4 linked regions of the Callithrix jacchus genome follow. The protein of the gene in region 1 interacts with the protein of each later gene in a pairwise test. Links are inferred from orthologs where the notes say so. Each region holds a gene or a part of one and is shown on either strand. Other genes may lie near its edges.

What was found.
Region 2: the proteins of SMAD1 (region 1) and PIAS4 interact in a two-hybrid assay, tested with the Homo sapiens proteins (2 studies listed by BioGRID and IntAct). The link is inferred for Callithrix jacchus from reciprocal best matches to the Homo sapiens genes SMAD1 and PIAS4.
Region 3: the proteins of SMAD1 (region 1) and PSMB4 interact in binary tests that used the Homo sapiens proteins (3 or more experiments, as listed by UniProt). The link is inferred for Callithrix jacchus from reciprocal best matches to the Homo sapiens genes SMAD1 and PSMB4.
Region 4: the proteins of SMAD1 (region 1) and LEMD3 interact in binary tests that used the Homo sapiens proteins (3 or more experiments, as listed by UniProt). The link is inferred for Callithrix jacchus from reciprocal best matches to the Homo sapiens genes SMAD1 and LEMD3.

The regions. Positions count from the first base shown.
Region 1 is NC_133504.1:51,458,189-51,462,892, reverse strand, and holds part of SMAD1 (mothers against decapentaplegic homolog 1), read left to right. Parts: intron 1-3,439; coding exon 3,440-3,661; intron 3,662-4,704. UniProt on the Homo sapiens protein: Transcriptional modulator that plays a role in various cellular processes, including embryonic development, cell differentiation, and tissue homeostasis.
Region 2 is NC_133523.1:3,787,047-3,791,750, forward strand, and holds part of PIAS4 (E3 SUMO-protein ligase PIAS4), read left to right. Parts: intron 1-2,398; coding exon 2,399-2,472; intron 2,473-2,701; coding exon 2,702-2,862; intron 2,863-4,704.
Region 3 is NC_133519.1:11,300,524-11,306,001, reverse strand, and holds PSMB4 (proteasome subunit beta type-4), read right to left. Parts: upstream 3,672-5,478; 5' UTR 3,646-3,671; coding exon 3,506-3,645; intron 3,255-3,505; coding exon 3,048-3,254; intron 2,785-3,047; coding exon 2,638-2,784; intron 2,465-2,637; coding exon 2,383-2,464; intron 1,990-2,382; coding exon 1,873-1,989; intron 1,694-1,872; coding exon 1,605-1,693; intron 1,419-1,604; coding exon 1,406-1,418; 3' UTR 1,305-1,405; downstream 1-1,304. UniProt on the Homo sapiens protein: Non-catalytic component of the 20S core proteasome complex involved in the proteolytic degradation of most intracellular proteins. This complex plays numerous essential roles within the cell by associating with different regulatory particles.
Region 4 is NC_133510.1:54,091,771-54,097,209, forward strand, and holds the start of LEMD3 (inner nuclear membrane protein Man1), read right to left. Parts: upstream 3,347-5,439; 5' UTR 3,333-3,346; coding exon 1,811-3,332; intron 1-1,810.

The sequences.
Region 1 (4,704 bases):
TGAAAAGAGTATTTTTAAATGAACAAAATGGTATTCAGAAACAATAAGCATAACAGTACTGAAGTAGAGTTTCATTGGTGATTTCCAAAGTTGGAAGTTGGTATAACTGGGCTGTCCAAAGGCTTTCTTTTGTAATTAAGATAGATACTCATAAACCTCATCTATTTTCAGTCCTTATGTATGTGTAACCACAACTGGAACAAACTAATAGCATTTCTTTCTTGCTGTTTGTTTCTAACTTTGTTACTAAAAGAAATTGAGGCCCAAGTTTTTCCTCTTTTCAACCTGAAGAACTTGCAAGCAGAAATGAAAATTTCTTTCCCCCTTTAGTAAAGGGCAGGTCTTTGATTCCAGTGGTATATTATCCTTAGCAGTGCTGAGTGGAGGATCATTCTTCCAGCTCCACAGAAGCAAGTAGAATAGACTTAAGTGAGCAGAGAACTCAGGTAAATAAGTCTGGTAGAATCTCTGAGAATTTGTTAGAATCCACAGCCACACTGGCAAATAAAACTGTTCCTAAGTAACCTCTCGTGAAAGAAGGTGCCTCACTGCTGCACTCAGCACATGGCATGGGTCATGCAATTTGTATAATGTTGATGCAAACTGAAGTTAAAGTGCATGCCTAGTAATTTGATTACCAGGCATGTCTTATTTCACTCTTAGTGCTTTTTTATTAAAATAGGAGTTGCTTATATTTTTAAGTACTTGAAATTGATTTTGTCTGTATGATACATTATACAGTGGTAGCTCCATGTCAGTATACATTTGTCCAAACCCATAGGATGTACACCACCATGAGTGAATCCTGATGTAAACTATAGACTTTGGGTGTAGGTCTGTAGGATGAATGTAGGTTCATCAGTTATAACAAATGTACAACTCTGGTGGGGGAGAGTCTTACATTTGTTAATGGGGGAGGCTAGGAAGGTGTAGGGGGTTGGGGGGCATATCAAAAATTACTCTACCTTACACTCAGTTTTGCTGTGAACCTAAAACTGCTCTAAATGTCAATTTAAAAATTGGTGATGAAGGCTAGGTGCCATGGCTCATGCCTGTAATCCCAGCTCTTTGGGAGGCTGAGGCAGGTGGATCACCTGAGGTCAGGAGTTCGAGACCAGCATGGCCAACATGGTGAAACCCTGCCTTTACTACAAATACAAAAATTAGAGGGGTGTAGTGGTGGGTGCCTGTTGTCCCAGCTACTCAGGAAGCTGAGGAAAGAGAATCGCTTGAATCCAGGAGGCAGAGGTTGCAGTGAGCTGAGATCACACTATTCTACTGCAGCCTGGGCAACAAGAGCAAATCTCAGTCTCAAAAAAAATAAAAATAAAAACAAAAATTAGTGATGAACTCAAAGGACCTTTCTTAGATGTTCAGTGTAATAAATTGGAAGGTACACCTTTTTAATCAGTATAATTTTAAAATATTTTTTATTGGCTTCATATTTTATGGTTCCTGATTATCTCTTGAAAATCTATCAAACATAATTATAAGTCAATGAACACTCTCATTGGGGGAAATAACCTCTGTCTCACACATCTGTGGAATTTATATTTGGGGACCAGGACAGCAGGAGAGAATAGGCACAGTACCTCACTATTAGGAGCATGTGGACCCAGTATCTATTGTTGCTAAGCCCAGAATGTCTGATTTCAGGAAACAGATCTTTAAATTGCTTTAAGATTTTTTTTCATTTAAATAGCTTTAAATTTTTTTTCCTTTTTAATGTATAGTCATTTAATATTTTCATGAGAAAGGAATGTTGGCCTTTTTTTTTTTCTTTTCCCCTTTTTTTCCTACTTTTCTTTAACCTTTGGTGATTTTCTTAGAGCAGGGGTCAACAAACAACAGCCCACAGGACAATTCAGCCCGCTACCTGTTTTTGTAAATAAAGCATTATTGGACCACAGCTGTATTTATTCATTACATATTGTCTGTGACTGCTTTTGTGTTACAAAGGCAGAATTGGATGGTTGTGATCAAGATTATACCACCCATAAAATCTTTCTGGCCTTTCACAGAAAAAATGGATCAACCTCTGACCTAGATGAATAGTATTTTGAAGTATCCTGATAGCTGATAAAAGCCTTCTGTTAAAATGCTGCGATCTGCTTTAAGATTTGTAAATCACTGAAGTTTTGTTCTTTGAAATATTGCAAATTGGTATGGTAGAGTTGCTTAGCAAGCAAGGAAGATAGTGTATGTTTTTAGCTAACTACTTAAGTATGTAAAGCAACTAACTTATGTCTGGGCTTTTTAATGAGTATTTTCCTTGTTTTCTTGGTGTGTGTGTGTGTGTGTGTGTGTGTGTGTGTGTGTGTGTGTTGTGTTTTTTCTTGTTGTTTTGTTTTGTTTTGTTTTGACCAAATTCTAAAGTAAGTGCATTTTAGTATTTGTGGAATTTGATGTTAAGAACACAGAGGTGCTTCTCCCTTAGCAGTTATAGCCTGGGCTTCTGATGTGGACTTTCTTTTCTTTCTCTTATTATTCTATACCCAAGACTTCGTAAACCTCAGATCATTATATATTGGCTTGCTGGAAATATATGGTTTGTATTCCTGGAATCTTTAAAGCAGCAATACAAGAGGTTTACTACAGAAGGAATTCATCTTTAAAACCTTTTAGTTGCAAATGTTTAGAAGCATGTTCTGTTTGGAAAGATTTGTTAGTCTTAAGAGATTTGACTTAACAAGCTGCATCCTGTCAGTAAAGTTGGGTAATTTCCATTGTTGGCCCATTCTGGGAATGGAGAGACAAAACACACCTGCTCTGCATGACTTAAAGCAAATATAAGGAAGTTAGCATGAAATCTGGATGAGAAAGATATGATTCATTCTGTAAGAATGGCCAGCTGGCAAGATTTCTTCCTGAGTTTGAGAACTGGAGCACCACTGTAGCTGTGATAGTTATTGGCAACTTAATATGAGTAATTAACTTCTTATCAATAATTAGAAACTGATTTTCATTGCTTTGAAAAAGCATAGGCATACTTAGTCTTTGCCAAAACGAATTCATTTTTATGCCGGTACTTTTGGCATATTTCCTGTCTTCTATTGCCCTCTTCCCACTTATTTTTTCACTTGTCACTTGTGTTTCTTTAGATGGTGAGTCAAAGTCTACAGTGGAGTGATTTCCATTTCTGCATATTACAGAGCAATTATCATATTGTTAGTATTTGGCAAAAGTTGTTGCTATGCTTCCTTAGCTGGTGTTTTGGTTATCTGATAGTAATTGGAGAACATTGTTTTCCTAAAGAAGAATGTCATATTTAGTAAGAAGTACCTGCTTTAAACATCATAGAAAAACTGTATACATTATAATAGCAATATCTTTTCCAATATCTTCATTCCATGATCCTGAGCCAATTCAACAATACGGTTTCAATTTTTGAGCGCTTGAGGCACTAACCTTGGTTGATAAGTCATTTTCTTTCTTATAGACGTTCAGGCAGTTGCTTATGAGGAACCAAAACACTGGTGCTCTATTGTCTACTATGAGCTCAACAATCGTGTGGGTGAAGCGTTCCATGCCTCCTCCACAAGTGTGTTAGTGGATGGTTTCACTGATCCTTCCAACAATAAGAACCGTTTTTGCCTTGGGCTGCTCTCCAATGTTAACCGGAATTCCACTATTGAAAACACCAGGCGGCATATTGGAAAAGGTGAGTTTTTGCTTTAACCTCTTTCAGATGTTTTCAGTTGGGTCCCTGTTCCTCCAGAGCTGACTTAAAATCATTCCTATACCAAACTAGTATAGCAAAGACCATAAGACTCACTTGCTGCAGTTTGTAAATATTTTTCCAGTTTCTTCTACCTGGAAGCTCTTGCAGTCAGTGATTTTTGTGCTCGATCAACTCTCATAATATTGAAATTAATTAGTTGAAATTATGATTTGCCATTTTAAGACTATTTTATTTGATATTTTACTACAGAATAAATTGATGGTTAAAAAATAAATTACAACCTAAAATTAAAAGCAAATTAAACTTAGTTGCTAATTGTATTTCAAATGAATACCGTAACTCAGTAAATAGAAGAGAAAACTAGCTTCTAGCACAGACATCGTGCAAGGTGGTCAAATAGAACCCTGCAGTGGTTGTCCCCCAAAAGGGACACCAAATTGAACAACTATCCACATAAGAAAGCACCTTCATAAGAACAAGAAATCAGGCATGGATATATTTATAATAAGAAAAAGTAAAGACCAAAAAGCAAGCCTAATAAGTTACCAATATAGTATGTGACTATATATCCTCAGTCTAGGCTGAGTGGAGTAGATAGCATAGGGGGAGGATTTCAAATAAATCCTGAACTCTTTCTAGTAAACTTGATTATTTCATAGCTGTGTGAGTGAAACCATTCTGAAACTTTCATATGTATTAAAAGATGAAGCAAATGACTAAATATGTGGATATTGTTTCCACTGTGGAAAAATGGACATAGAAATGCAGAAGGGAGCAAAAAATAAACCCTATGAAGGAAGATGAAGGTATCAGTGCAAAATCCTGATTTTAATAATATATATGTATATGCATATTTATGTTCTCATGTATTATGTATATGTGTATGTATGCATATGTATATGCATTTTTACATGCATATAGTTTCTTATCTGCCTGCTGAAAGGGCCCAGAAGCATACATACCCAGTAGCAATGAGCACACCTAATGTTCAGATCATCATCTCTGTCTAATACCATGTTCCA
Region 2 (4,704 bases), on another chromosome or scaffold:
AAAGAGTTTTTTTTTTTTAAGTGACATGCAAGGCATTTTAAACAAAGCCTACCGAGACTGGCAGCCGATCATTCCTCACCCAAGCAGCCTCCCGGCACAAAGCCAGCGCTCAGTTAACCTTCCTTGGCAAGCTGTGTGGCCTCAGAAAGTCAGTGGCCCTGTCTGGTGGCTGCCGTCTTCACGGGAACAGGTCTGAGACATCTTGAGGGCACCTGGACCTCTCTCTGGACCCACATGCTTGGGGCCCAGGCCTCAGTGGGCTCTGCAGGCCTGTCCTGTGGAGAAATGCGGCGTAACCTGGAGTCCTTTGGAGCTGGGAGTGAGAGTTGGGCAGGTGGGCGAGGACTGGGACTGCCTTCCAGGCTGAGTGGAGGGCAGTTCCAGGCCAGCCAGCAGCCGGGTTTGCTCACATCTCCTTCAAGAATGGTGGCTCTGTTCAGGTGGCTCCTGGGTCCCACCCCAGCCCCTTGGCAGAATGTGGGCCAGAGGGTCTCCCAGCTGCCCCTCCTAACTGCTCAGGGCCCCTGTGCCCAGGCCCAAGAGTCCCTCGTGAGCACTGCCTTCCTGGCACAGCTGGACCCAGGCCTCTGGCCCCTGCTCCAGACCTCCAGAGGGCACTTCCTAGCCTGGGTGTCCGGAGCCTGGAGCAGTGCTGGAATGGCCAGGGACTTGTGAGTCCCTTTATCTTGAAGCCTGCTACACACTCCAGCCCCCCAAGTCAGGAAGGATGGCCATCAGCATGCCCTCTGCAGAGCAGGACAGGGAGGGGTGGGGTAGGGAGAGCCTGGCGATGTTTCTGACCAGTGGGGACACTGAGGCTGAGTGGCAGAGTTAGGGTTCTGTGACCTGGGTTTCCCATCCCCCACCTCCCTCTTGCCTCAGAGGGCCCTTTCTTCAACCCCCGCTTCTCTGCCTGAGGCATGATGGCCAACTTGAGCAAGGAGGCTGGGGCCAGGCAGACCTCTTCCAGGCTTACAGGGCAGGGGCTGGGCCGAATCTGTCAGTGACCACGGCTTGCCGGGCCGTGGCTGGCCCTGCGGGGTCAAGTTTCCTCTCTGAAGTGGTCCTCAGGCGCTGCCCACCTGCGGCCCCTCGTCACTGGGTCTCTCTTGTTGTACCAGGAAGTCCTCGCCTTTGTCTCACTTGAGCCCTTCTTGCCGCATACGTCTTGTTCTACATGGAGGAGGGAGAGCTTGCTTCAGAATCAGATGGGCACCTGCATTCCCTCCTAGCTGCCCAGGGCCCCCTTACCAGGCCTGAGGGTCTGCCTGGGCACCTGGTAGCCAGAGCTGGGACCCAGGGCTGGAAACTTGGCCAAGGCTGGGGCAGTCTTGGCTCAGGCAGGAGAGCTGCTGGGGCCCTGCGAGGGAGCAGACCGTGGCGGCCAGCATGTGGCTGCCACCGCGTCCCCATGGGAGGAAGCGCCCACTGGTCCACACACAGACTGCGGGTTGGGCCAGGGGGCTGGGTGGAGTTTAGGAAGGAGGAAGTGGCTCCTACACGGCCAGAGATAAATGGTGTTTGAGGGCAACAGCGGGTGGTGGGGGCAGTTCCAGGCAGAGAAACGTCAGGGCAGCTGGGGGCAGTGGGAGGACAGGCTGGCACCGTCACTCTGGACCCCAAGTCAGGTGGGCAGGTGGCTTCCTGGAGGAAGCAACTCGGGTCCACCAGGCAGCTGAGGGCAGGTCGTGGATAGAGAGGCCCTGTGGGCTGTGGGCCAGTGTGGTCTCTGCCCCGAAGGGCCCAGAGCTGGGATTCTGTCCTGAGCTACTGGGGGATGGAATTTGGCCACATCCCAGAAGCATCAGGAGGGCAGCCAGGTGCCTGCGTGAGTTCCTCCTGTCGGTGGCCTGCAGCCTGTCGAGTGGCGGACATGTCTATTCCTTTGTGGAAGCAGCTATGCTGCTCCTGGGCGTGCCGGCTGCCCAGGGGCACTGCCTGGGGCTGGGTGGCAGCCGCTTCCTGGCTCCTGGTCAGGAGTTCCAGGGTCCGTCTCATGGCTCGGTTGCTGCCTTATTTCCAGCTGTGGCCTTGGGGATGGTGCTTTGGTGACAGGATTAAGTCACAGCGATGACCCTGTTGGTGGCTGTGTTGCATGAAACTTTCCAGAAAAGTCCCGTGGGTCATAGAACGCTGATGCGGGCTGGGGAGAGGCCTCATCTGCGTGTTGGGGCTTTGGCTGGGCGTATGATGCGCGCAGGCTGTGGCCAGATGTAATGGTGGTCGCCGCCCAGCCTTCCCTGATCCCTCGTAGCCCTGAGCCAGCAACAAAGCTTGGGGCTTGTCCTCAGGGTACCTGTTCTGGGAGGTGGAGGTCAGTGCTGGCGAGAACCTGAATCCCAGGCCCGTACCCCGCTGCCACCTCCCCCTGATGGTGTCCTCTCTTCCTTTCCCACAGTCAAGGAGAAGCTGCGCCTCGATCCCGACAGCGAGATTGCCACCACTGGGGTTCGGGTGTCCCTCATCTGCCCGGTGAGTTGGGGCGCACACCCCTCCTCGGGGCCTCTCTCCTGCCCGGTGGTCCTGGTCCCGGGGCAGCTTGGCTGGGCCGAGAGCCTGAGTGGCAAGGCTGGTCTTGTTCCCCTCCGTGTCCCTGAGACACGAGCGATTGGAAGGAGCCACAGGATGGAGCTGGGGGCGAGGGGCACCGGTCGGGCACAGCAGTCAGGGGTGCCCTGCTCACCCAGCTCCTCACCCGCAGCTGGTGAAGATGCGGCTCTCTGTGCCTTGCCGGGCAGAGACCTGCGCGCACCTGCAGTGCTTCGACGCCGTCTTCTACCTGCAGATGAATGAGAAGAAGCCCACCTGGATGTGCCCGGTGTGCGACAAGCCAGCCCCCTACGACCAGCTCATCATCGATGGGTGAGCCTGGGGCCCTGGGGAGGGAGGCCAGAGCCAGACACCGTGGAGGTCTCAGCGGCACCCTGCTTCCTGCAGACCCTGTGCTGCCCCAGCAAGACGCAGTAGTGAGGGCACTTGGTCCCAGAGCTCCGGGAGCACCGGGGCTGCGGAAAGAACCCATTTCTTCCCCAGGGAACTTGTCAGAGCTGTGCAGGTGCCAGGTGTGTAGCTTAGGCTGCAGAAGGTGGACTCGGGTCCACCCTTGCTCCCACATGACCTTGGGTGAGTGTGACCTTGCATTGCAGGAGTATGTATAGTTTTTGCCGAGAAAAGCTGAGCCAGGCACGGCGTTTGTACGGCGTTCCACCCCAGGAAGTGCAGACTTGGCAGACTGGGTCGGGGGTGACCTCCTCAGAGAAAGGCAGAGGAGGCAGCGGCTCCCGGAGTGCTCTGGCCACACCGCACCCTACCCTTCCTGGGTGGCACAGCTGGCCAGGTGGTCCCCAGGCCACAGGATAGGAGGGCAGGGCCTTTCTACCTGGACGGAGGCTCTCTCTGCCCAGGGCTTGTTTCCAGAAACTGAGCGTCGTTGTCTGTGGTGCCCAATTTGGCTCCTGGCTGGTGCCAGCCACGCTGCCATTTTGTCCCCAGAGCCGCTGGCAGGGTGTGAGGCCACATCGGCACGAGCTGGTGCCCTCACAGGTGGGAGCAGGCCCCGCCCAGGGGAGTGGGCCCAGCCCCCAGCCCTCAGGGGCATGGCCTCAGCCAACCGTTCAGGTAAAGGCAGGACTGGCCCACCTCCAGGGTTGTAGATTTGGTCCCCCAGTAAAGGTCCTGGGAGGCAGACCTTCGAGCCTCCCCATCTTACAGACAGGGAGATAGGCTCAGAGAAGGCAGCCAGCAGCTGGAGCCGCCCCGGCCCACAGGTGGACTGGCTGGGACTGGAACCCAGCCTGAGTCTGCTCCTCTCCTGGGAGAGCTGCATTGCCACCCCGCTGCAGGCCAGTTTCGGGTGGAGAGAGAGGCCCTGGGGCCTGGGCACACGGGCTGCCTGAATGGCCTCTCTGTTCCCGGCCTGACAGCTGTGCGGCCGCTGCCCGCCTTCCCCCACAGGCCTGAGCTGGGCTTGGGCTCTCGGCTCCAGGGCTGGCAGGGCTGGGCCAGGCAGCCGTGACCCACGTAGGCCTTGGTCTCAGCAGCCACCGGTACTCCGTGTAGCCAGGGAGGCTTCCTGAAGGAGGGCTCCTTGGTTCATACATTTCTCCATGAGGCCTGTCACCTGTCTGTCCCTAGCCCTGAGCTGGGTGACCCCAGGGTTCCCAAAAGAGTCATTTCCCAGACCCTGCCTTTGGAGAGCCTTGCTAGGGGCGGATGGAGGAGCAGAGCCAGGCATAATGTTCCTGCTGCTGTGCCTGTCAAGGAGGGGAAGGGACGCTGTGGGATGGGGTTTCAGAGGCTGAGTAGGAGTTTGCAGGCAAAGAAGCAAGCAGGCAGAGCTGGTCCCATGCCTGGGATGGCCCTGGCACAGTGAGCTCTGAGCATTGCCTCAGGGTGAGGGTAGGAGGGGTGGGCGGGGCTGACCTGGGTGAGAGGAGTCCCATAGGCCTCAGAGGGTGGCCCAGAGCGTGAAGAGGCCTCTTCTCCTTGGTGATGAGAGTGACGCTGCCGCAGGCACCTGGGAGCCGCTGCAGCCTTGACAGTTACAGGCCAGCCTGCTCTGTGATACGTGGCCCTGCCTATACCTGTGGGCATGGGGGGGTCTCCCTTCAGATGCCCCCGTTGGCCACTGCACCCTTCCCATTCTGCAGGTGGGGAGACCGAGGCCCTTTGGCTAGGATGCCCCAGAACCAGGGCCTGCCTCCG
Region 3 (5,478 bases), on another chromosome or scaffold:
TCCCACCCCACCCTGCTTTTTTTGTTTTTCGCTCCCCTCCACCGCCGCGCCCCCCCCCCCCCAGCACACTATAATATAGTGAACTGGAAATGTCCCTTCCAGAAGCAACTTGGCCAGCTTTGTGAATCCCTGACATCTGAAAACCACCGAGGATCCATCTGGGCTTCTCTTCCCCAGCTTTTTGCCTGATGCCATTTTATCGACAGACTGTGGACTTTGAAGTCAGCCTTTGCCTTTGAGAAAGTTCAAGAACTATGATTTGGTCAATTCTATCTACAACAACCTAATCCTACCCTTTGGTAGTCTCCGCAGCAGCCACAGCCTTAGCAGAGCTGGGGTTCCTGTCCTCTGCACACGATTGACTTTCTTGATGGGTAATTTTTTTTAAGATCTTAACAGTGGATCAGCTGGGTTTTGGCCAGGAAGTTGTCTTTGTGGACTCTGCCTGCATGGCTTAGTAGTAGAAGGAAACTTTTTTTTTTTGTTTTTTATAATTCAGTTTAATCAATAAACATGTATTTATTGACTATTTTCTGTGTTGAGACTGAATGTGTTGAGGTGTCAGATTGAAAGCTCATGGTTTTCATTTGCTTTATGAGTTTGTTGTTATGGACAATGTAAATGGAGGGATGGTTTGGTTTTCCCTTCAGCTCTCACTGAATTTCTATAATACTTTTAATTTGCTGAAGTTTGGAGAGGATACATGTCAGACTCACCTACAGTGTTCATTTTAAAAATTTGGGCTGAAATTAACAAAAAAAATTCAGGCTGAGCATGATGGCTCATGCCAGTAATCCCAGCACTTGGGAGGCTGAGGCGGGAAGTTGCTTGAGCCCAGGAATTCAAGGCTGCAGTGAGCTATGATCATGCCCCTGCACTCCAGCCTGGGCAACAGAATGAGACCTTGTCTCTAAAATATTCAGGTTTAGAACCATTCCAGGGATGGCAACCTGATGCAGAGCAGCTCTACTAGACGGTCTCTAAGATGGCATTTCAATGAAAACCACAGCCAACATTAAGAAATCTGTATTCTTTGATAATACATTGCAGTAGGGGAAGATTTGGGAGAAAAATTTGAACACAAAAGCCAGTTAGCACATAAAAATTAAATCTGGCTTCTATAGGAAGCTGCTTCTAATATAGCCCCAAAGGAAGATGCTAGTGGGTCTTTCTGTACTGTGCAGAGAATTCTGTATTTGCTACAAGAGCCTCAGGGTTCTCCGACCAGGGAGGGAGATGCCACACGGCACTACTCAGCAGTTCTGCACTTGTGACACAGTCAGACAAAAACTACTCAGCAAGTATTTTGAAGAATTTATTTAGTTTACAAAAGAAGAGTCTGAACCAGCCAAGTTTAAAGTTAAAAGTAGGGTACAACTTCCGTTCTGGATAATGCATCTGTATTTCATTCAAAGCCACTAAAAAAGAAAGAATAATAAAATTGTGAAGCCTAAAGGGATCAATTCCCAAAAATAGCTGCACTGTCCAACCAAAACCCTCTCCCATCCAGACAGTTTTCCTGGGTGAGCCTCCCAGAAAAGTCCAGTTCAGTGCAAGCCAAAGAGCTCCCAAAATCTGCTACCAGTTTTTTTCCTAAGACTCACCTGATCATGTGGGCAATATCCCAGTTGGTCTCTGCAGACAGTGGTCCCTCTATTTCAACACCTTTTTCAGTTACAGTGGCAATTTGAAACTGGAAGAAAGCAGAGCATTCAGTAATGCCCACCCCTTATGTCCTTAAAGGTCAGGTGGAGGTCTTCCCCAATCTGAAAATAGTCGCACAAGTGAGGCAATCTGTTCTTCAAAGCATAGAGACCCAGGGATTGCAAGTATCCAAGAGTCTGCCAATTAGGTTCCCAGCACATTCCTCACCCGGTTGTAAGAACGGGCATCTCGGTAGTACAGCACTCGCATGCAGCGTTCTACTAGCTCTCGGGCCTCGGTCTGGCTCAGCACTGGCTGCTTCTCCAGAACTTCTCGCAGCAGAGGCTAGAGAGATTGGGAGGGGAACCATGGGAGATACTGGGCTGAATAACAAGCTAGTTGTCTCAAGTCAATGGTATAAAAAGCATTAAAGAGTGAAAAGATGACATTCTACCTCTTGCAGAATGAACTCTGCTTACTAATAATAAGCTAAAAGCCACTTGAAGGGGAAGTTCTAGGGTGTCCTCTCTTTGCATGTCTACCGAGTCCCAGACATGCCATCTCGTCACTGGAATCTTAAGTGTCAACACCTACAGCCCCCAGACTACAAAGAAAACCATCTGCCCAGCAGCAGGGATCCCAGCCTGTCATTTCAGAACTTCAGGAGAAAAATAAGCAACCACTAATACATTTTCCCTTTTGTCTCCCCTTGCTCCCGCCTCTCAACTCACTGCTTACCTGAGCCAAGTATGCACCATAACCAGTGGCCAGTGAAGGGGCTTCGTAGGCTACACCAAGCATGTCCACATAACCGAGGAAGCTAACAGGACACAATGGGTCAAAACTCATTTCACCTTAGGTTCATCTTAGCTGAAGAAGGGGACCATGGGGCCTAAGTTAAAGTGGGATTCACTTGGGGAAAAGAGACAAGAGATACTACACAGGCACTAGTTTGGGTGGTAAAGGAAATAGGTTATTTGTATTCGTATGAACCTCTCTCCATCAGCATAGCCTCCGATGACCATGGTGTTCCACAGAGGGTTCATCTTCGACCGCCGGCTGTACATGGCCCGGGTCAGCCATGAATGAATAGCTCTAGGACTATAGCTGTGTCCATCTCCCAGCAGCTCCTCATCAATCCTTAAAAGGAATTGGTTGTGAGAAAAGGGAGAGACTTAAATCCGGATCTCCACCCATCCCCAAAAGAAGTTACCACACCTTCCCCCATTTTACACCTCCTAATGCCAAAAACTTTATTGCAAACACTCTTGGATCAGCCACCCCCAACAATTCTCCCAGTGCCCCGTTGCAACATCAAGTACCCCCATGCCGTCGAAGGGAATGAAAAACAGGGACTATCCTCCCTACTTGGGAACCACTCTCCCGTTCTCTGGATGACTTACACCATCTGGCCGAGAACTTGCTTCAAATACTGGAAATCAGCGTAGTCCCCAGAGGCACCCAGCATGGTACTGTTGTTGACTCGCATAATGCGAGAGATGTTGCGGAAACGAGCCAAGGAGCCGTAGGATCCCAGCATGTCCGCGGCAATCACCACTCCGCCCTCGAACTTAACGCCGAGGACTGAGGTCCCGGTCACCATGGGGTTTCTGGAGAGAGAATGGTGGGAGCTGAGCGGGGAGATGGCCTGCGCCGCCTTTCCGCGCACTGGGCTCCGCTTCTGATTTTCTGTAATTACTTTCAATGATTCTGTATTCTCCAGGACTCCGCGCCCGTAACTCCCGTATGTTCGCGCGCCTCCGGGGTCCCCGCCTCACCTTCCCGGGCTCTCAAAACCCGCCGGGCAGCACCAGGACCAACGATCCCTCCCCCTTCGCAAGTGAAAGCGCCGAGAACTTACTGGGTCCGCGTGATCGGACCTCTGTGGAGCGCGGACGCCGGATCCATCAAGGAATCAGGAGTGGACGGAATGCGGTAAAACTGTCCTGGGGCCGGACCCCCAGCCCAAAGTCCGGACCGCGACCCCAAAAACGCTTCCATCTTAGTCACGGTAGCAGAAAAAAATGAAAGCGCTTGCGCCAACGGAAGCGGAAGTGATCCTTCAGTGTCACTTCTTTTTCCTGTAGGCGACTTCCAACAGCCATGTTGATGAGGTCGTAACTGAAAGTGCAGTAATCCTAGGTGGCGACCCAGACGAAGAGTTGGAATTGCCCCACGTCGTTTCGCAACACATCTCCGTGGAGTTTGGACCAGATCGCAGTGCTCTAACACACAGTTCAAGGAGGAGGGAGGCATGGGGGTGGGGTGGGGAGGTGGCCACTTAAAGACGCTGATTCTGAGCGAGACGTCACAATTTTTTTTTTCCCTGAGACAGAGTCTCACTCTGTCGCCCAGGCTGGAGTGCAGTGGCGCGATCTCGGTTCACTGCAACCTCCGAGGCCTCCCGGGTTCAAGCGATTCTTGTGCCTCAGCCTCCCGAGTGGCTGGGATTACAGGCGCCTGCCATCACGCCCGGCTAACTTTTTGTGTTTTTAGTAGAGACCGGGATATCACCATGTTGGCCAAGCTGGTCTCGAACTCCTGATCTCAGGTGATCGGCCCGCGTCGGCCTCCCAAAGTTCTGGGATTACAGGCGTGAGCCACCGCGCGGGGCCGAGAATTCATAATCCTCATGTTTCTTTCGGATCATTATCAAAAAGCCCACGCGAATATATCAGTGAACACAGGGTTTCTTGCATCTATAGTCCTCAGAGCAGCCCCATGTGACTGCTCAGGCATTATTCGACCCGTTCCGTAAAGAGGAAAGCGGGACTTGTGAAGTCGTGATATACCCATTCACACAGCCAGAACCGGTGAACTGAATCTTAAGCCCAGAATAAAAAAAGGAATCTGGGCCGGGCATGGTGGCTCATGCCTGTAATCCCAGAACAGAGGCCAAAACAAGAGGATCACTTGAGCCCAGGAATTCAAGATCCGCCTGGGCAACAGGATGAGACCTCGTCTCTACAAAATAAAACCAAAAATTAGCCGGGCATGGTGGCACACTCCTGTAACTCCAGCTACTTGGGAGGGTGAGGTGGGAGAATCGCTTGAACCAGGTAGGGAGGTGCACTGAGCTGAGGTCGCACCACTGCACTTCAGCCTGGGCAACAGAGCAAGACCCTGTCTCAAAAAAAAAAAAAAAAAAGAATACACTGTGTATACCCCGTGGGCTGTGATAGCTCGGGTGGATCAAGCACTCTCTGTGGGACCTTAGACACGTCTGAAAATTTCCTTATTGTCAACGGCCCTTGCCCACCTCTTAAGCAGCAGAAAAAATCCACTGAAAGTTTAGGGATGAAACTAAATTCCAGGGCTTTTCTTCTCAATGTAACTCCATAGCAGGGGCTGGAAACAATGTCTTGAATCAAAATGATGAACTTTGTCAAAGGTAAACAAAGCGGGTCACTAAAGTGGAAAGGACAGATTTCAATCAATAACTACTGCAATAGGGAATCAAACTCCAGCAGGAACCGAACTCAACTGCAATTTGTATGCAAGTAATGGATATTTTACAGGGAAAACGAGGTTCGGGGGCGGTGAGACAGAGGGTCGGTAGAGTCAGGGAAGTGAACGTTTACAGAATGAGTCAATGTAAATGCACTTAGGTCAGCGATGTCTGCTAGCTGATGATTATGCAAGTTAGGATCCCATCCTCGCGCACACAGAGACTGGTGAGGATACAATCCTCAACACTATCCTTAGGTGTCTTTTGTTTGTTTTCTGAGACAAGGTCTGGCTCTGTCACCCAGGCTGGAGTGCAGTGGCGTGATCTCCGCTCACTGCAGCCTTTGCCTCCCCAGCTCCAGTCATCCTTCAGCCACAGCCTCTCTC
Region 4 (5,439 bases), on another chromosome or scaffold:
CTACTAAAAATACAAAAATTAGCTGGGCGTAGTGCCGCATGCCTGTAGTTCCAGCTACTCAGAAGGCTAAGTCAGGAGAATCACTTGAACCTGAAAGGCAGAGGTTGCAGTGAGCCCAGATCCTGCCACTGCACTCCAGCCTAGCAACAGAGCGAGACTCCATTTAAAAAAAAAAAAGAAAAGAAGCCAGATCATATAGTTGTTACAGACATAGATGCAGATGCAGATGCAGATAGCTACTGCTGATAAGTAATGTAGTTTAATTTATGTGAACTTTTACTAGTTTAACTTCTAGTCTGCCCTTATTTTTTCCTCCCAAATACTTGGGGCAGGACACAATACACTCATGCTTCTGGGAAATAAATTTAAGAGCTGAATTTCATTCCTCTTGTAACCCCTTAAATTAAGCAATAGAGTAATAATCAGCTACTTGACTGTCTTGGAATTGGCTGTATCTAAATCAAACCTTACACTAATTTGACTCCTACTCTTTATCTGAGTTGGCTAACTGCATCTTTCACTTTATTTTGAAATAAAACTAATAAGCCAATTTTATAAATACAAATCATAATACAGTGAATTCAACTTGGGTGAAAAGAGCAGGAAACCTTCAAGGGAAATGCAGGGAGGGACCTAACATTGAGAAATTATGTATTCAGAAGTCCATTTTGTACTAATTTACTTTCTCTTTTAGTCTTCACAAACATCATTCTAGTCAAAGTGGCATCATTTTATAGATTAGAAAAATTCAGAAGCTTTAACTCTTACTCTCTCCCCTTCACTCCAGATGCTTAACCACAATAACTTAGAAGAAGGCTCTTGCTCAACTCAAGGCCTTTCCTCTTACAATCTCGGCCCAGAATGGTCTCCTGTCTCTCCACAAGATTGCCTCCTGCTTCAGGTCTCACCTCATATAGTACCTCCTCCGTTCAATCTAAAGTAGTGTACACCTACATCAGTGTAGTGTGGTAAATTTTTTTTAAAAAAGGAAAAAAATAAAATAAAATTGTGTACGTCAATTACTCATCCTTATTTACTTCACAGAACACAAAACAGTCTGTATTCATCTTCTTTTTGTGTTTAAGAGCAGAGATACTTTGATTTCTACAGTGAACACAGCTGCCTACAGTCATTTTTAGCAAGTAAACAGCAGGACCTGGAAACCAGTCCAAGGAAATCTGACTGCAAGTTCGCGCACTGTCCTACCACCACTATTTTTTTTTTACAGATGATAGGAAAATTGCTTTGGGCTGGGAAATCAATTAAGAGGTGTGCCTTGCTGCTGTTTTGTATTCATTCATTATAAAGAAATTATACATACAGTTAATACTACAAAATATTTAATCCGAACTTATGCATACAGTTAATACTACAAAATATTTCATTCAAATGTCAAGAGCCAGTACACTGCCTATTAGAATCACAACTCAATTTGAAAAAACACTACATTTATGGTGTGTCTTATCCTAATACTTCAAATCTGTTGAGTAATTGGCATCTGCGCAATTATTTAGGCATAAAAGAAAATTAAGTCACATATACAAATAAGTTTTAGTAACAAGTTTATAATATTCTTTTATAAATTGTTTTGAATTTCACAACACATCATGCAGAAAACTTTTAAAACCAGCCATATGATATCATTTCGATAATGGTGCTCTTTTTTAATGAAAGATGACACACACACTCACTGCTGGGGTTAAACCACGTTCTTGCAGGTAAGTCACTTCACGTAAAATGCTAAGAGCGGCTAAAGCGGACCACTAACAACATTCCCTTTGTTGCCTTACCCACAGGATTTAATACTTACTGCTGAGTTCTCCATCCTCAGACACTCCTGTTCCTCTCATTCCTAGGTAAGTCAGTCCCAGTATTAGGAAAAATAAGCAGGCAGCGGTTAAGAGAAACATCGACAAGTAGTGGGCACTGAAACTCCCTGTTGGGGACACCTCCTCCCGTTTAAATTGCTGGAGAAGTTCCTCTTCTGGTTCAGAAAGCTTCGGTTTGTTGTATGTGTTTTTCAGGTAGGTATGATTGGAGCCCGTATGATTGGCGTGATTGATCCTGAGTGAACCAGAGGCAGCCACCGCCGCACTGGGAGGGAGACTGTTAGAATAAATCCTGGGGGAGTCCACATTGAAGGCCCCACCGCCAATATGATTATTGGTTTTCAGAAGGGAGCCTGTTGACGAATCCAAGGTTGAGTCCAGGTCAGTAAGTGGCGGGGGCAGGAGAGGGGTCAGTTTTTTAGCATTAACACGATATCTAGGAACTGGGCTGGAGTCCACTTGATCACACCCTCCTCCCTGCTCCGCGGCCGCCGCCTCTTCGAGGTTTCGGCTCCCGTCTAGACTCCCGGCAGCCGCCGCCCTGTCATTCATCGCGAGTCCTCCCCCTCCCTGAGCTGAAGTCTCCAGCCTGCCGCCGGCCGATTTAACAGTCAGCGGGGAGAGAGGCTTACTATGGGTCCGTCTGGGCCGATGCCGGGAAAGGGAGTCGTCCTTTAATACCTGTCTGGTGGAGGCCACGTCGTCGTCGTCCTCTTCCTCTGAGTCCGAATAGTTTTCCCGGCAGCTGTAGGGGACAAGCCGGCTGCCATTCACTGTCCGGCTGGCCCAGAGCGGCTCCTCGGCCTCCGGGTCCCTCTCTTCACCGTCCTCTCCCTCCCCTTCCTCGTCCTCCACTGCTCCATCTTTCCCCGCCGCAGTCTGCAGCTCGGGGCCCGCCGGCCTCCTGGCCCCCCACCACGAGTGGGGCTTCCTTCGCTCGGCCGAGTTGCTGTTAGTCACCTCGCTGGCGGCCAGGGACGCCGGTGGCGCTTTGAGCCCGCGGTACTGGAGCGAAGCCCGGTCTTTCCTCCCGCCGCCGCCGGCCTGGTCTTGGGGACTGGCCTCCACGTCCGACTCGTCCGAGCTGAAGCCCAGCAGCACTTTGCTGCCAGCCGCGGGGGCGGCGGAGGAGCCCCCGGGCCCTCCCAGGAGGCTTTCCGGGCCAGAGGCCGAGATTCGGCACAGGCCCCCAGGGGTCCGTAAGTAGGAGAGGTCGCCCGAGACCGGCCGGACCCCCATCCCCGCGGCCGCTGCCGCCGCTGATCCCGCGGCTGCGACCGTGGCGGCTGCCGTGTTATTGTTATTACTGTTCCGCGTCTTGTTGCCGCGGCCCCCCGACCGGTGCTGCTGCTGCTCTTCCTCTCGAAGCTTCTTCAGCTTCTTGAGGTAGACTGGGCGGGTGCTCTCCGTCACTGGTCCAGGAGACAGGCCGTAACGGCGGAGCTGAGAGAAAAGCTCCTCATCTGAGAGCTGCTGAGGCGCCGAAGCCGCTGCCGCCGCCATTTTCTCTCCAGGGTGTTTTACAAGCTCCGCGCTACCGGAAGTGACGCGCCGCCCTAGACCCTGAACTAGACCGCGCTGCGTCGCCCTCTCAGCGCCGTGGGTGTCTCGGCCAATCGGAGACGCGGGAGGAGCTCACCTGAGCGGGAAAGAGCCACCTGAGCAGTGAGCGGCTCCCACGGCAGAGACTGTGTCTACTCTCTCACCTTGAGGTGTCGGCGCATTCTCCCCCTCCTCTCCGTCCCGTCTCCGGCTGTTCTCCACCCTGCCCTTCCAAGTGCCATTCCCGGGAGCTGTCTCTTACTAAACCACACCTTGACCTCTCCATCCTAGGTTCCTGCCACTGGGCAGTAATAATTGAAATCTACCTTGAAGTTCATGGCATAAGTTTTCTTTACATCTGGATTCCCACTGCCGAGGGAGCCTAGACCGACTGAACGAAATTCTGCTGGCCAGACTAGATTGGCAGCTTTCCCGTCTGACTTCAGGTTGTCTATTTTCAGTTCGTCTTTCGCTTGACTTACAAAAATAAAAAAACAAAAATTAAGTGACTTTCTCTCGCTGCTCTTTTTGAGAAGCGTTTCCTCTCCTATTCCGAGAAAATACAGAGTACATCAATCACAATACAATTTTATTCTAGAGTAATGGCTGTTCGTTCATCAGTTAATTGGAAGACATTATCTTTCTTTTTCCTTTTTTGAAACCTAATGACTTTACTACGTCAGCATTTTTGAAAGTGAAAGAGCTTATCTGCTTCATTTTAAGACTCGAAGACATAACACATGACCCTATTTACTTACTTCTTAGCACCTTTCCAACCATAGTTATTATTTATTAATAAATATTTGTATTTGTTTATTTTCAAAATTATTTATTTTCCTATCCTTTTAGACTATAATAAGTTCCATGTGTGGAGGAACCTTGCTTCTGTTATTCATGATACTTGTAGAAGCTCAATAAATATTTGTTGAATGAATTAAAGAATTGCAAAGAGAGGATAGTATGAGATGAATATTTTGAAATGAGACCAGTGCCAAGTGAGGTGGAGAAACCTTCACACAAAGTCAAAAAAAAAAAAAAAAAAAAGACCTGGAAACCCAACTCTTCCATTTACGGAATAGGAAACGAATCCCAGAGAGTTGAAATGTGCCCAGTGTGGTAAAGCTCTCTTCCTATTTTCCCATTTCCCCAAACCTTGGCAGACAGACAATTCTTTAGTTCTTCAATCCTATTAGCTACAAAATGCTACAATAATGTTTTTTCTGTTGAATGAGTTATTTTACCTATTACATTACACCCCGTACAGAAAAAATGTTAGCCAAAAGCATAGATCAGGCTGGGTGCGGTGGCTCGTGCCAGTAATCGCAGCACTTTGGGAGGCAGGGGTAGGTGGATCACAAGGTCAGGAGTTTAAGACCGGCCTGGCCAACGTGGTGAAACCCTGTCTCTACTAAAAATACAAAAAAAAAAAAAAAAAAAAAAAAAAAGATAGCCAGGTGTGGTGGCAGGCACCTGTAATCCCAACTACTCGTGAGGCTGAGGCAGGAGAATCTCTTGAACCCAGGAAAGTGGAGGTTGCTATGAGCTGAGCTGAGATTGCGCCACTGCACTCTAGCCTAGGCAACAAGAGTGAGATTCCTTCTCGAAAAAAAAAAAAAAAGCACAGATACTAGCTTTTCTATATCCAGAATCAAACAGCAGAATAATACTAACCCTAATTTTTTACTTTTCCTAGCAAAAGCTTGCCATCTTCTCAAAAGAAAAAAAGCTTTTATGTGGAGGACAGTCACTTGTCCTTTAATCGTTGAGCCTTTAAGATTTACAAATGTTCTTGAATCTATTACTGTTATGCACTTATAAGAGAATTTTGCAAAGTAAATTATAGTGGCTATGATGATGACCCAGACTTTATTGCCGTAATTATCTGGGTGGGGACTAAAATTATTATAAACTTAGCGGACTTGTGTCTCCATGTAGCAGAGTGGTTAAGCTGTGAGGTTTGGAGTTAAATGAAACTAGATGTGGACCCAGCCCTGTCTCTTACTTTCATTCTTGGTTCAACATTTGCTTTATACCATACTGGCTTCTCTGATAGGAATCATAGCAGTCA